Saccharomyces cerevisiae S288C: one gene and its partners. The gene in region 1 interacts genetically with each later gene. Each region holds a gene or a part of one and is shown in the gene's direction. Other genes may lie near its edges.

What was found.
Region 2: mutations in EFT2 (region 1) and JJJ3 together harm fitness more than expected from each alone (negative genetic interaction), as found in Saccharomyces cerevisiae (3 studies listed by BioGRID, with this or other methods).
Region 3: mutations in EFT2 (region 1) and DPH5 together harm fitness more than expected from each alone (negative genetic interaction), as found in Saccharomyces cerevisiae (4 studies listed by BioGRID, with this or other methods).
Region 4: mutations in EFT2 (region 1) and HGH1 together harm fitness more than expected from each alone (negative genetic interaction), as found in Saccharomyces cerevisiae (4 studies listed by BioGRID, with this or other methods).

Annotation. Positions count from the first base shown.
Region 1 is NC_001136.10:1,241,034-1,246,399, forward strand, and holds EFT2 (elongation factor 2), read left to right. Parts: upstream 1-2,196; coding exon 2,197-4,725; downstream 4,726-5,366. Other genes in the region: putative ammonium permease ATO3, read right to left, coding at 171-998; MUS81 (Mus81p), read left to right, coding at 5,051-5,366. UniProt on the Saccharomyces cerevisiae protein: Catalyzes the GTP-dependent ribosomal translocation step during translation elongation.
Region 2 is NC_001142.9:610,551-613,650, forward strand, and holds JJJ3 (Jjj3p), read left to right. Parts: upstream 1-1,862; coding exon 1,863-2,381; downstream 2,382-3,100. Other genes in the region: SFC1 (Sfc1p), read left to right, coding at 1-191; YJR096W (aldo-keto reductase superfamily protein), read left to right, coding at 645-1,493; YJR098C (uncharacterized protein), read right to left, coding at 2,636-3,100.
Region 3 is NC_001144.5:500,760-504,670, reverse strand, and holds DPH5 (diphthine synthase), read left to right. Parts: upstream 1-2,508; coding exon 2,509-3,411; downstream 3,412-3,911. Other genes in the region: isocitrate dehydrogenase (NADP(+)) IDP2, read right to left, coding at 1-80; TAG1 (Tag1p), read right to left, coding at 424-2,250; APS1 (Aps1p), read left to right, coding at 3,622-3,911. UniProt on the Saccharomyces cerevisiae protein: S-adenosyl-L-methionine-dependent methyltransferase that catalyzes four methylations of the modified target histidine residue in translation elongation factor 2 (EF-2), to form an intermediate called diphthine methyl ester.
Region 4 is NC_001139.9:869,156-873,303, reverse strand, and holds HGH1 (Hgh1p), read left to right. Parts: upstream 1-1,887; coding exon 1,888-3,072; downstream 3,073-4,148. Other genes in the region: protein kinase BUB1, read left to right, coding at 1-1,260; transcription factor IIF subunit TFG1, read right to left, coding at 3,323-4,148.

The DNA of each region.
Region 1 (5,366 bases):
AGAATATTTCGTCTCGAACAATTTGCTAAGTATTGTGGGTAAATGATATATAAATTTTTATAAAAACTCTTGGCCAAGAAAAAAAAAAAAGACTATGTCTAAACGTAACGTTATCATTATTATTAAATCATTTTAATGTTTTATAAGTTTTGTTTTTCATTTCATACCCTTTAAGGAGCATTTGGCATTGTGTGCGCCCTGAAGGCTAAATAAGAATTTGAAGGACTCACCACAGAACAGTATAGCGAATACCAACCGCAGCAACTACTTAAAATTCCAAAATAGCCACCGGCCATTTTGAGATTGTTGTTGTCAATGAAGGTGCCGATACACAGTAGTAGGAAGGTAAGATCCAAAAACGTCAATAGTAAGAACAAACCCCACGTGCTCTTCAATGTACACATCAACATCAAGAAGGTGAAAACGGTCCAGCCCGCAAGGAAGAACCCAATGACATTGTTCAACATTGTGGGATCGGTATAGCCGCTGACCAAATTATCAGTATCTGTTAGCCCATAACCGTAGCAGATCCAGAACCCGCCGAAAGAACTGAACACAGTCATGGCGTATGTGTCCCCAATGACAAAACACAATAACCCGGCAAACAATTCAATGGCACCACCAAAAAACATAAACAAACTTAGCGCCCATTTACCATCAGTGACGCCGCGAACGTTCGCATTAATTAGCGACAGAACTAGACATGACAGAGAAAACGATGCGAGACCCAAAGGAACCGGATTAGCGAACTGGTGCGGAGTATACTTTGCACAGTTTCCTTCCTCCCCATCCCCTCTGTCTAGTGCATTGAGCAAATCTCTGCGCCTGTAGGTGGAGGATCCTAGAGTAATGAAGTCTCTGTCGGAGTATATCTCTTGAATATTAGGGAAGCCCTGCGAAACGCCTGCAATCGAACCCTGCTGGGGGAGCGTCTCAATATTTTCTAGAGTGTTCACACCCTTTTCCAAATCCTGTGGAGAAGAAGCAGACGATGTCATTTTAACCAGTATTTTTATTTTTTATTCTTACTAAATCTTTCTGGGAATGTATTCAGTTATATGTGACCCAACTGTTTATAAAACTGGGGGAATATTAGGCAATCAAGCGAAGCTCATCGATGAGTATTCAATTTGCTAAAAAGTTGTTTTATTTAAATATTCCTTCTGAGTCACGGTCATCGTGAATAGCGTTAAAATTCTCAAATCCATTGGTGTTTCCATTAGGCCCTGAGCGGTTCCCCAAGAAAAAAAAAAACAGTAGAAAAAAATGATGCTTCTTCCTAACGCTATTGTAGTGCAGGTTCTGCCGTGTGCCAAGTTGGAGCAGCGCCTGCTGAGACTCTTCCGTATGGTTCTTGCTCTTCTCAGGACCAGCGGCGGCAGTTCCGGTTTTTTTCGGCGTCTTTTGTCTGGCACACAATGGGCGATGGAGAGGGAAAACCGGAGGATATGCCAGCTGCGGTGAGATTATGGTTGGAGTTATGTTTGTAGCCGGCGGTGCGGCAATAGGAGAGGGGAGGGGAAGGGGAGGGGAAAAGGTAATGGCTGACGAAGTATAGAGATGGCAATCACAAGCCAAATATTGGAGATTACATGCAAGAATGCTACTGTTATACAAAAGGGTGAAAATTGAGACCCAAATTCCTTCCTTTTTTTTCTTTTTTTTTTACCAGAAGAATTACGTACAAAAGTACCTACTATTTCAAAGCAAGAAATGAGATGCCTATTGTGGTTATATACAGAATAGATGATAAATGGGTTTTCCGTGCAAAACGATATGGAGAATTCAAAATGGGTGCGAAATACCTGGAACGTAAGCGTTCTGAGAAATACACAGACGCATTAACCTGACAAAAACACAACTAGTTTGGGAAAGGGATTTGGTCTTTCCTCTCGGGTCTCTCGTGTGGTTCCTTTCTTTCTCAGATCTCCCTGCACACTGGGCTGTTGTCCTCCAGGTTATGGTTTGTTCTCTTCAGGTATTACAATGCAGTAGGCTTTTGGAGTGAGCAAAACGAAGAGAGAAAAAAATTTTTTCTTAAAAGTTTTTTTTCATTTTGTGAGCTTATTCTTCTTTTCTATATATTCTTGATATCTTAGATTATACATATTATTCTCTTACATTTCACGATTGCCCTTTTGGTGTTTAGCATTCAGACTCAAAGACCACAAACACAAACTATAACATAATTGCAAGATGGTTGCTTTCACTGTTGACCAAATGCGTTCTTTAATGGACAAAGTTACCAATGTGCGTAACATGTCCGTTATTGCTCACGTCGATCATGGTAAGTCCACTTTGACCGATTCCTTGGTCCAAAGAGCCGGTATTATTTCCGCTGCTAAGGCTGGTGAAGCTCGTTTCACCGATACCAGAAAGGATGAACAAGAAAGAGGTATCACTATCAAGTCTACCGCTATTTCTCTATACTCTGAAATGTCTGACGAAGATGTCAAGGAAATCAAGCAAAAGACCGACGGTAACTCCTTCTTGATCAACTTGATCGACTCTCCAGGTCACGTTGACTTCTCCTCTGAAGTTACTGCCGCTTTACGTGTCACTGACGGTGCTTTGGTTGTCGTCGACACCATTGAAGGTGTCTGTGTCCAAACCGAAACTGTTTTGAGACAAGCTTTGGGTGAGAGAATCAAGCCTGTTGTTGTTATCAACAAGGTCGACAGAGCTTTGTTGGAATTGCAAGTTTCTAAGGAAGATTTATACCAAACCTTTGCCAGAACTGTTGAATCCGTTAACGTCATCGTTTCCACCTACGCCGATGAAGTTTTGGGTGATGTCCAAGTTTACCCAGCCAGAGGTACCGTTGCCTTCGGTTCCGGTTTGCACGGTTGGGCTTTCACTATCCGTCAATTCGCCACCAGATATGCTAAGAAATTCGGTGTCGACAAGGCCAAGATGATGGACAGATTATGGGGTGACTCTTTCTTCAACCCAAAGACCAAGAAGTGGACCAACAAGGACACTGATGCTGAAGGTAAGCCATTGGAAAGAGCTTTCAACATGTTCATCTTGGACCCAATCTTCAGATTATTCACTGCTATCATGAACTTCAAGAAAGATGAAATTCCAGTTTTGCTAGAAAAGTTGGAAATTGTCTTGAAGGGTGACGAAAAGGACTTGGAAGGTAAGGCCTTGTTGAAGGTTGTTATGAGAAAGTTCTTGCCAGCTGCCGATGCCTTATTGGAAATGATTGTCTTGCACTTGCCATCTCCAGTCACTGCTCAAGCCTACAGAGCTGAACAATTATACGAAGGTCCAGCTGACGATGCCAACTGTATTGCTATCAAGAACTGTGATCCAAAGGCTGATTTGATGTTGTACGTCTCCAAGATGGTGCCAACCTCTGATAAGGGTAGATTCTACGCCTTCGGTAGAGTTTTTGCCGGTACTGTTAAGTCCGGTCAAAAGGTCAGAATCCAAGGTCCAAACTACGTTCCAGGTAAGAAGGACGATTTGTTCATCAAGGCCATTCAAAGAGTTGTTTTGATGATGGGTAGATTTGTCGAACCAATCGATGACTGTCCAGCCGGTAACATTATCGGTTTAGTCGGTATCGATCAATTCTTGTTGAAGACTGGTACTTTGACCACCAGTGAAACTGCTCACAACATGAAGGTCATGAAATTCTCTGTCTCTCCAGTTGTGCAAGTCGCTGTCGAAGTCAAGAACGCTAACGACTTACCAAAATTGGTCGAAGGTTTGAAGAGATTGTCCAAGTCTGATCCATGTGTCTTGACCTATATGTCTGAATCCGGTGAACATATCGTTGCTGGTACCGGTGAATTGCATTTGGAAATTTGTTTGCAAGATTTGGAACACGACCACGCTGGTGTTCCATTGAAGATCTCCCCACCAGTTGTCGCTTACAGAGAAACTGTTGAAAGTGAATCTTCTCAAACTGCTTTGTCCAAGTCTCCAAACAAGCATAACAGAATCTACTTGAAGGCTGAACCAATTGACGAAGAAGTCTCTTTGGCTATTGAAAACGGTATCATCAACCCAAGAGATGATTTCAAGGCCAGAGCTAGAATCATGGCTGACGACTACGGTTGGGATGTCACCGATGCCAGAAAGATCTGGTGTTTCGGTCCAGACGGTAACGGTCCAAACTTGGTTATTGACCAAACTAAGGCTGTCCAATACTTGCACGAAATCAAGGATTCCGTTGTTGCTGCTTTCCAATGGGCTACCAAGGAAGGTCCAATTTTCGGTGAAGAAATGAGATCTGTCAGAGTTAACATTTTGGATGTTACTTTACATGCCGATGCTATCCACAGAGGTGGTGGTCAAATCATCCCAACCATGAGAAGAGCTACTTACGCTGGTTTCTTGTTGGCTGATCCAAAGATCCAAGAACCAGTTTTCTTGGTCGAAATTCAATGTCCAGAACAAGCCGTCGGTGGTATCTACTCCGTCTTAAACAAGAAGAGAGGTCAAGTCGTTTCTGAAGAACAAAGACCAGGTACTCCATTGTTTACCGTCAAGGCCTACTTGCCAGTTAACGAATCTTTCGGTTTCACTGGTGAATTGAGACAAGCTACTGGTGGTCAAGCTTTCCCACAAATGGTTTTCGACCATTGGTCCACTTTAGGTTCTGACCCATTGGACCCAACCTCTAAGGCTGGTGAAATTGTTCTTGCTGCTCGTAAGAGACACGGTATGAAGGAAGAAGTTCCAGGCTGGCAAGAATATTACGACAAATTGTAAGAATGGTTAAACAATTTTTAATTATTTAACTTTTTCAGTTTTTGTCGTAATGTATTGGGCACCTTTTATGTCCTTTTGACTTTTTTGTAGTTTATTCTCACGTATACTTACCATCTATAGTGTTATTTCATATTTAATCATATTTCCATATTAGATATCTGCCTTCCCCTGTATAATAGTTACTATGATTTATCTTGCTTTGCCTATTCGCGTCATCAACTTCTTTTCTTACCGATCGCGGTAATGCCCTTTAAGAGTGGCATCAACATTGGCGTAAACAAAGTTTCAAAGGATTGATACGAACACACATTCCTAGCATGAAAGCATGGAACTCTCATCAAACTTAAAAGACCTATATATTGAATGGTTACAAGAATTAGTTGACGGATTAACCCCTAAACAAGAACAACTCAAAATAGCCTATGAAAAAGCAAAAAGGAATTTACAAAATGCTGAAGGTTCATTTTATTATCCTACAGATCTAAAGAAAGTTAAGGGAATTGGCAATACAATAATAAAGAGATTAGATACGAAATTACGGAACTATTGCAAAATTCACCACATATCTCCCGTTGAGGCTCCTTCCTTAACTCAGACAAGTAGCACCAGACCACCAAAGAGGACTACTACAGCTTTGCGTA
Region 2 (3,100 bases), on another chromosome or scaffold:
TAACCATTGGTGCTCAACTACTGAAAGAAGAAGGTTTTAGAGCTTTGTACAAGGGTATTACCCCAAGAGTGATGAGGGTGGCTCCAGGTCAGGCTGTCACCTTTACCGTTTATGAATATGTAAGGGAGCATTTAGAAAATTTGGGTATATTCAAGAAGAATGACACACCAAAGCCAAAGCCATTAAAGTAGATGATGAACAATGGGACTACAAAATGAAATAAAGAAAAAATAGAAATAGGCTAGAAGATCAATTATTAATCGCCCTATTCTTCCTTATTACCTACACAAAATAAAGCAGCAACATAAGAAACAAAAACAAAATGAAAACAAACCAAATAAATCTATGTAAGCATACTCATTTCAATTTGATATTCATTACTTGACTTTTTTGTCCTTATTTGAGGCTCCATAAGCGCGCCATTTTTCCCTACTCCCTTTTTTCGTAAATAGTAATAATGTGCTGAAAAGAACAATGAAGTAGTTATCATACATATTCCGTCGTGTCGATATGAGGGGAGGTGTCTCTTTCTTTCATCCCTTGTCGCAACCTCCAATATATAAGAGCATAAGCAACTGATCTTACTTTAGTAATTAACTTAGCATACCTAGCCCGAAGGAAGAAAAAAAATTCACCTCAACAACATGGTTCCTAAGTTTTACAAACTTTCAAACGGCTTCAAAATCCCAAGCATTGCTTTGGGAACCTACGATATTCCAAGATCGCAAACAGCCGAAATTGTGTATGAAGGTGTCAAGTGCGGCTACCGTCATTTCGATACTGCTGTTCTTTATGGTAATGAGAAGGAAGTTGGCGATGGTATCATTAAATGGTTGAACGAAGATCCAGGGAACCATAAACGTGAGGAAATCTTCTACACTACTAAATTATGGAATTCGCAAAACGGATATAAAAGAGCTAAAGCTGCCATTCGGCAATGTTTGAATGAAGTCTCGGGCTTGCAATACATCGATCTTCTTTTGATTCATTCGCCACTGGAAGGTTCTAAATTAAGGTTGGAAACTTGGCGCGCCATGCAAGAAGCGGTTGATGAAGGATTGGTTAAGTCTATAGGGGTTTCCAACTATGGGAAAAAGCACATTGATGAACTTTTGAACTGGCCAGAACTGAAGCACAAGCCAGTGGTCAACCAAATCGAGATATCACCTTGGATTATGAGACAAGAATTAGCAGATTACTGTAAATCTAAAGGTCTCGTCGTCGAAGCCTTTGCCCCATTGTGTCACGGCTACAAAATGACTAATCCAGATTTATTAAAAGTTTGCAAAGAGGTGGACCGTAATCCAGGTCAAGTTTTGATTCGTTGGTCTTTACAACACGGTTATTTACCACTACCGAAGACTAAAACTGTGAAGAGGTTAGAAGGTAACCTTGCAGCCTACAACTTTGAACTGTCAGACGAACAGATGAAATTTCTTGATCATCCTGATGCTTATGAGCCTACCGATTGGGAATGCACAGACGCGCCATAAAAAGAAAATGCGAACCGTAGAATAACGTATATAGAACATATAATTAGTTTACGTTTCACAAAGTATTAATATTACATGTAGCTTTTTCAGGACTTTCGATCTAAATCAAAGATTAAAGGAGCTGCTAGAGGTAGAAAAGGAAATCATTGACTTTTCTTGAAGATTTATGAGCGGGTAACTGGAGATGGAAATTTTCAGAAAAATTGTAAATGGATGCGATGACTTCGATGTGACGTTACTAGTCTTACCATTGTAAAAACCACTATCGGTGCCAAAAGATAAGCGCAATCAACTAAGAAATTTACCACGCTCTTTGTATTGTATTTATCTCCAATTTAATCTTTCTTTTGGTGTGAAAATTTAGCGAAAATGTCATTGGTGAATTCGTTAACACACTACGAAATTTTAAGAATTCCATCGGATGCAACACAAGATGAAATCAAAAAGGCATATAGGAATCGGTTACTAAATACGCACCCCGATAAACTTTCTAAAAGCATACATGATACGGTTAGCAACGTCACAATCAATAAGATTCAAGATGCTTATAAAATACTATCGAATATAAAAACTCGTCGCGAATATGATAGGTTGATCCTTGAAAACTATAAACGCCAAGGATTTCATAATTGTGGTGATGGGCTGGATGAATTTTCCTTAGACGATTTCTCATTTGATGAAGATAAGCTGGAGTTTATGATGAATTGTCCTCGCTGTCAATTTGTTGGTGGTTTTCATTTTAGTGAGAGTTTGTTAGATGAATGCATTGATAATGTAGACGCTATGGAACGGAGTCATTCTGGTTATCAATTATTAACCCAATGTAGCGCATGCAGCTTATGGCTGAAGGTTAATTTTGACATCGAGGAAGAGCAAGAAGGACAATAATGAAAATGGGAGGGGAAATTGAGCATATCAGATAAATCTGTTTATAGAATTATTATTTTACTTCGTGGGAAATCGAATGGTGTATATAAAAGAGGTTGTAAAATTGACGAAATAAATAGTATTTAGGCAACTAAAGATAAAAAAATATTATTTATTTTTATTCGCGGTGCGTTGCCAGATTTTTTTTGACATGCGGAATTTTGGTAAAAAGAAAAATGCAGATATGAATAGTAAACAAAGGAATAAAAAGCCTTTCATGAAGAAGTTCGTGTTCGAGATCTTCTTCCTTCTTTTTCGCTGTCGACGATAGATATGAATGCTTTTGCCATTGATTTCAAATCCGTCATTAAGCTAACATGACCTGAAGAACTGGCGATTTTACAAACAACTGGAAAGCCTCTCTGTTCAGGCAATAACCATTTATGGTGAACAACACCGTCGCCCGGACCATAGTAAAAATCTTCATAATTCCCATCTTTTATATCTTGTATACCGTTCACTTTAGCACCTCTAACAGTGGGAACCTTGTTACCGTAAACCATGGCCAATGGAGGATATTCTTTGTTCGGGTCGTAATCTAAGCTATCCAAATAATTCTTTGTACGTTTTAAAGTTCTCGCTAAATATTCACAGCTATCTTCATAAGATGTATGGAAGACTTCATCGAAAGGCACATCCCTTGGTACCTGTTTATTATTGCCGGCTACATTCCTAACAAC
Region 3 (3,911 bases), on another chromosome or scaffold:
CTGATTAAATGCCAGATTATTCTTGTTTGCTCATCGCCGTCCATTTCCACAATGGGGTTAGCTACCTTAATCTTTGTCATTACGATTTTATATATATACGTACGTTACCTTCTTACCTCCTATTCTCGTGCCTGAGCAGCGACTGTAGTCGACAAGTCAAGAGTGTAGTAACATACAATTGCAGGCTGTCATTTATATATCATGCCGGAGACTAGTTTGCCTATAGCCAATTCCAACCGAACCAATAATGTTAAGTCCGGTTTTTGATATTATACTCCACCCCCACTATTCCTAGCCCTGAAAGGTATCAAAGAGAACACTGATGATTTGACTACTGCATATTCTTCCCTTATTTCCTTATTTGCCGATTTTCGGACCACCGGCAATGACATCCCGGAGTTATAAAAATAAATAGATAGACGTTCACGTGACCAAAGTGTCACCCTCTCCGGCTAACCCGGTGAGAACCCACGGGCCCAATGCCGTCGTAAGTGACGCATCTATCGTCGCATTAAAGTGAATAACTGTAAAACCCTGGAATAGTATTTCGTTCAGGGTTCGTGTTAGTTCCAAGCTATTGACGACTTCCATGTCGTCATTTTCTAGATCAAATTGAAGCTTCATCTGCGTATTTCCTGTGTCCTCATCGTGCAGAATGTGCGATGAAGAGTTGATCCATTGCTTCATGGGTAAGTTTAAGAAATTGATGTCGTTATGGTACAGATCGATCTGTCCCCGAATGGTATCGATGCGAACTCGGTCTTGCTGGTGCGTCTCGTAGAAGGATAGATCAAAGAATCCTAAAAATGTCCCCACAAGACTGAGCTTTTTGCGCGCTGCCCACCGTAGCTGAAGATCGTTGATCTGAAACTCTTGAATCAATTCACTGGAGTTAAACGTAGCATTGGTAGTAATGGGAATAAACGATGCTTCTTGGAAAATATCCTCCAGCATGTCTGCTGGAATCAATGAGTTATTATCTATACCATCTTCAAGGACATGGCCTCTTGCTGCGAACGTAACAGTCTCGTTCTGGTTCAGGACCGCATTCACTATTTGGCTCATTGGTGTAAGACTATTTTGAGGACATTCTTGGTATAGTAGTTCATCGGGCAGAGGACCTTCAATTTCATTTTGTAAACAGACGACGATATTATCCTTGTCGTGGTGCAGATTAATCGGTTCGTTAAAGCAAGACAAGGTTGGAATTGCGATAGCAGGCTCACCGTTACAGTCCGGTAGCTTGATTTCCCAATTGATGAAAGGGATTGACGTGCCTGGCGGAAGGTGAAGCCAGTCCACCCCTCCAAGAATCGTGATCGGATTCAGTCTCATATCGGCATGAAATCCATCAGAACTGGAGTCCCGCAATGTAAATCCTTGAAGAGATATTCCATCGATCATATTTTGAATCATCCGAAGGGGCGTTGCCGATATTTTTTCCCAATCAATAATATCTTTCCAATCTAAGATTTCGTCATTAAGTTTCAATAAATTAAACCTCGTGCCAAATTTTCTCTTGAAGATAGTCATATCTAAATTCGATTTTATATTTAAGGATTCAAAATCCCTATTCCAAAATTTTTTCAAAACTTTTACGATTTTCCAAATAGACGGTTTAACTAAAATTTTGAACTGTAGGTTATTAATCTGTCGGTGAGCCAAATTAAAACAAATGGGTTCCATGCCAACAACATCTCCCAGTTTATTCTTGAACACTAGATCTCCATCGAATGTGGTCACGTTATTCAGATCTATACAAATGGTTTTAAGAACTTTTTCATTGATGTACCGTATCCAGTCACGTTGGCTTCTGGCGTCCGAGTCATTTTCCGTTCCTGGCCATTTGTCATAATCGAACCAAATTTGAGAGTGTATAGACACCTGCAAATACTTACCTGTATCATTGTTCAGGTCAGAGCCCATATTATCTTTCCAACCATCAAGCTGAAACTCCACCAGTTTGAAATTTGTTACTTGAACTAGATTCTTTTCTATCACATCTGTGGGCGGCACATGTCCCCTAATATACTGCACTATGCTGACGCCAAAGAAACTTAATAAAACAATACCTAGCAGATATATAATTAAGCACTTTATACTCCGCCAACGAGATTTAATAAGGGTCTCATTTGCAACGTTGATTCTCACTTCATCATTGAGGAGTTGGCTTTCTTCAGTGTTTGGTCTCAACAGTGGTTGAGTTTCTAGATCTTGGTTATCCGCTCGTAAGGGTGAGTTAGTGTGCATCTTAAAAGGTTCAAGGAGTAATGCACTACACTAAGCAATAAAAAATCCCAAAAACAGGAGGATCTTGTGTCTTCTTCCCCTAGACAGTTCATCTTTTTGATTCTGGGCTTCGCATTTACCTTTAGAGAAAATTAAATAACCCCATGCATGCGATTCTAAAAAAAAGTTAACTAAGCGATGGGATGAAATTTTTTTCTGGTGGTTGTTAGCAAAGTAAAAACGAACAGGATATAGAGTGAATAAAGGACAGTGAGAAAAATGCTTTATTTGATCGGACTTGGTCTCTCGTACAAATCAGACATTACCGTTCGTGGTTTGGAAGCTATTAAGAAATGTTCTAGAGTTTATCTAGAACACTATACCAGTATCCTAATGGCTGCAAGCCAAGAAGAGTTAGAATCTTACTATGGTAAAGAGATCATCTTGGCTGATAGGGAATTAGTTGAGACTGGTTCTAAGCAGATCCTAAATAACGCCGATAAGGAAGACGTTGCTTTCTTGGTCGTGGGCGATCCATTTGGTGCCACCACACACACAGATTTAGTTCTCAGAGCTAAACGTGAGGCAATTCCCGTCGAAATTATTCATAATGCGTCCGTTATGAATGCAGTTGGGGCATGTGGCCTACAACTATACAATTTCGGTCAAACCGTTTCCATGGTTTTCTTTACCGATAATTGGAGACCAGACTCATGGTACGACAAGATCTGGGAAAATAGAAAAATTGGCCTTCATACTTTAGTGTTATTGGACATCAAAGTTAAGGAACAAAGCATTGAAAATATGGCCCGTGGCAGACTAATCTACGAACCACCAAGATACATGTCTATCGCTCAATGTTGTGAACAATTATTAGAAATTGAAGAGAAAAGAGGTACAAAGGCATACACTCCTGATACTCCAGCAGTCGCAATTAGTAGATTAGGCTCGAGCTCCCAAAGCTTTAAGTCTGGTACCATAAGTGAGTTAGCCAATTACGATTCAGGAGAGCCACTTCATTCGCTTGTCATCCTCGGCAGACAATGTCATGAATTGGAGCTGGAATACCTGCTAGAGTTTGCCGACGACAAAGAAAAGTTTGGGAAAGATGTGGCAAATGACCAAGAGTACTTCAAACCTGCGGCATGGGTCCCACCCACAGAAGACGACAGCGACGAGTAAAGGTAATGCACACGCTCATGTGTAGTTTCTTTTTTATAATGTATATTGAATAGATCCTTTCAGTCGGGTAACAATTCGATCCCAAACGAATCGGGCCCTAACGATATGTGTAAAAATGGCAATGAATGAACAAGAAGTTATAACAACAATTTCAGCCAAGAACAAGAGCGATCCTGGAGGAGATTATATACGGATACACAGGTACACAAGATGACGCAATTAAAATATTTGTTGCTGGTTTCTAGGCAAGGAAAAATCAGATTAAAGAAATGGTACACGGCAATGTCCGCTGGTGAAAAGGCAAAAATTGTGAAAGACTTGACACCTACGATATTAGCAAGAAAACCCAAAATGTGTAACATCATCGAGTATAATGACCACAAAGTAGTATACAAGCGATATGCTAGTCTATATTTTATTGTTGGGATGACGCCCGATGTTGACAATGAACTGCTGACCTTGGAAATTATCCATCGGTTTGTCGAAACAATGGACACATA
Region 4 (4,148 bases), on another chromosome or scaffold:
GAACCACAAGCAGAAAAGCTTTTACAAACTGCAGAACATTCGGAAAAGAGTAAAGAGCATTACCCAACGATCATACCTCCCTTCACTAAAATAAAAAATCAACCGCCTGTCATTATTGAAAACCCACTTAGTAATAATTTAAGAGCGAAGTTTTTATCCGAAATTTCGCCCCCATTATTCCAATATAACACCTTTTATAACTACAACCAAGAATTGAAAATGAGTTCTCTATTGAAAAAAATCCATAGGGTATCCCGCAACGAAAACAAGAACCCAATTGTTGACTTCAAGAAGACGGGTGATTTATATTGTATACGCGGAGAATTAGGCGAAGGAGGTTATGCCACTGTATATCTAGCAGAATCTAGTCAAGGACATCTGCGAGCGTTGAAAGTAGAAAAACCTGCAAGTGTATGGGAATATTACATAATGAGCCAAGTGGAGTTTAGGTTGAGGAAGAGCACAATATTAAAGTCAATAATCAACGCTAGTGCTTTACACTTGTTCCTTGATGAGAGCTACCTTGTTTTAAACTACGCCAGTCAAGGTACGGTCTTGGATTTAATTAATTTACAACGGGAAAAGGCAATTGACGGCAACGGAATAATGGATGAATATTTGTGCATGTTTATCACTGTCGAGCTAATGAAAGTACTTGAAAAGATACATGAAGTGGGAATAATACATGGCGATTTGAAACCAGATAACTGCATGATCAGATTAGAAAAACCAGGCGAACCCCTGGGTGCTCATTATATGCGCAATGGAGAGGATGGCTGGGAAAACAAGGGAATCTATTTAATAGATTTCGGTAGATCATTTGATATGACACTGTTACCACCTGGAACGAAATTCAAATCAAATTGGAAGGCTGATCAGCAAGATTGCTGGGAAATGCGTGCGGGCAAGCCATGGAGTTATGAAGCGGATTATTATGGATTAGCAGGCGTCATACATTCGATGCTTTTTGGAAAATTCATAGAAACAATCCAGCTGCAGAATGGACGATGCAAATTGAAGAACCCATTCAAAAGGTATTGGAAAAAAGAAATATGGGGCGTTATATTTGATTTACTGTTAAATAGCGGTCAAGCTTCCAATCAAGCTTTGCCGATGACTGAAAAGATTGTTGAAATAAGGAATTTGATAGAAAGCCATCTGGAACAGCACGCAGAAAATCACTTAAGAAACGTAATTCTAAGCATTGAAGAGGAGTTATCACATTTTCAATATAAGGGGAAACCGTCAAGGAGATTTTAGTGAATAAATATGCCTTCATCTCCCGCATAGGTGACTTTTTGGTGTCCTGCCAGATTCCATAGCAATGACAACACAACTTCAGGTAGAGCCAATTGTAACATTAATATATAAAAGGTAATATAAAACTAGCAGGTTCTCAGGTTGAGTAAATATATTCTTTTTTAATCTTGACATCTGTCACTTATGGAAAAACAAGTACCAAAAAAATGGCGATAATGTTATGATATTATTTTACTGAAGCTCTTCATACATCGAGTATGTAGCAATTGCTCCACTTGTTACCGCGAAAACTAACAAGAATAAAAAATAGATGTCTTGATTCGCAATTCGCAGTATATTTCATCTAATAGCTGCAGAGCCAATTGGGATGTTACTGGTAGTGCTACCTTTCGATGTGTTCTGTTATCACCCCAGACGATAATTATTATTGTAGATTTTTCCCTATTCTTCCTCGAAGGGCTTTTTCAAATTTTTTTTTTTTTCATTTTTTCATATTGAGCTCTCTCATCTCATCCATCAATTTATGACGCACCTACTCTAATAACGACAAGTTTATTCTTCTTAAAACGGTATCAATTTAATTTAAAAATTAAAAATAGCTCAAAAAAATCAACAAAAAATTGAGTGATGACTTCACAATTGAATGAATTAGTGGAATTTCTGCATTCACCACAACCTGCCGTAAGACAGATTGCCATTGATAATCTAGTTGGATTTAGTGCTGGTCCCACTTCAAAAGTTTTCAAAAATGATAGCTACAGACCCATTAAGGATATAATAAAAATGATCATGGATCCAGAACACGGCACCCGTGTTATTATTCAGCAAGGTGTCACTATATTGGTCAATTTATCTGAAGACAAGTTAGTAAGAAATATTATATTGAGCGATGACAAGAAGTTCTTAAAATTTTTGGTTTGGAAAATTGTCGATTTAACCAATCCAAATGCCGATATAATGTGTATCTTATTAAGCAACTTAGCCAAGGATGACGGCATTCTTGCTGTTCTGAATATCAAAAGGAATTCAAGCGGTGAGGAGGTCGATGATGGTTTGAAGTTAGCAGCTTTAAATAAAGAAGTTTTCAAAAGTTTGAGAGCCATGGATTGTTTAATGGATTGCTTTGTTAAGGGTTATGATAAAAAATTAACAAAATATGCCAGTTTCAATTATTTAGCCTTTTTTTTTGCGGATATCTCGAGGTTTAAATTGGGCAGGATGTATTTTATTGAAGAGCAGGAATACGATGGGGTTGTTCCTATTTCAAAATTGCTAGTATTTACCGAAAAATATGATGCAAAGGTAAGAAGAGAAGGTGTCGCTTCCACAATTAAAAATTCCCTATTTGATTCTGAAACTCATGAAAGGTTACTCAAAGATGAAAAAATAAACTTGTTGCCTTACATCCTGCTACCTATTGCTAGTGCTAAAGATTCTGAAATTGATGAGGAAGATATGTTCAATTTACCAGATGAACTTCAATTATTACCAGAGGACAAGGAAAGAGACCCGATTCCTGCAATTATATGCTGTCATTTAGAAAGTATTCTTTTGCTATGTACAACGCATGCTGGAAGAGAATACTTAAGAGACAAGTCCGTTTATCCACTAGTGAGGGAGCTGCATAAAAACGTTGAGAATGAAGATATTGGTGAATTATGTTACAGAATTGTTAATATGTTAATGAGAGGCGAGCCAGGTGCGGGAGCAGTGGAAGAGATGCCATCAAAGAATGCGGAAGAGGAAGAAGAGGAGGAGAGTGAAGAAGAAGAAGATGACGACGAAGAAGATGAAATTGTCGAAGTGGCCTAGGTCACTTTCAAGGACAGTTCACATAGCATAGAATTGTATAATACAGAAATAACAATATATTAGAGTTTAGTAGAATTCTGAGTCTTTTCTCAAAAAAAAGGCAGAAAAAAAGACTAGATAAAAAAGTATACTTACTGCAACTAAAATGACAGTATAATGTAACTACATAAGATTAAATGGAAAGAAAAAGGAAAGAATGAAAAGAACGAAAACTAAATAACCTATTAAGTACATAACATTATAAACTAACCTACTCTTTCTTTAATTCCATGTGGTCATTGCCAACCTTTCGACACAATTTTTTTACAATGGCAAACATTAGCTTTTTATTCTCTGCGCCAGGATATTTTCTTCTGATGAACTTTCCAAACTCTTTGATATTGACTTTGCCATCACCAATAGCCTCGATGATATCTTTTTCTGTTATTGTAGGCGCTGGAGTTTCTTCCCTTTCTGCCACTGTAGAATTCAAGCCTTCCTCTTGTTTGATTGGCGAAGGCACTGTATTCGATGCATTATTACTACTATCTACAGCTTTTGTCGTCTGTGGATTCCATTCTCCCTCTGGGAAGCTTTTCAGTATTTTCTTATCCCCCTTCAAGATAATGACACAGTTTTTAATACTTTTCACCCTCAAAGTTGGCTCTTTATGCACATGCGCATTTGTAGCTTTCTTTTGCTGTTTCTTTGGAGAAGATCTCTTGGATTTGGATAGAGTGTCCGAATCTTCTTCCTTTTTAACGGGCGATTCATTCTCTTTGTTTTCAATATCGGATTCAGATAAGTATGGGTTGATCTCATTTTCATCCGATGAGTATAGTGCTGCAAGTTCTGTCTTTTGTAATGCCTTCTTAATTCTTTCACCATCCTCATCAATCTTCTTTTCCCCAAATAACTCATCTTCTTCGTTTTCGGAAGGAGCTTCTTCATCACGAAGCCCCATCGCATTAGCTTGCAGCATCTCCTTCTTGATTCTTTGTTCTGATTCTTTATTTTCTTGTTCATTACCATCTATAATAGGTGCCTCCTCATCATCGGCAAACTCTTCATCATAATCTAACTCTACTTCTGAATTG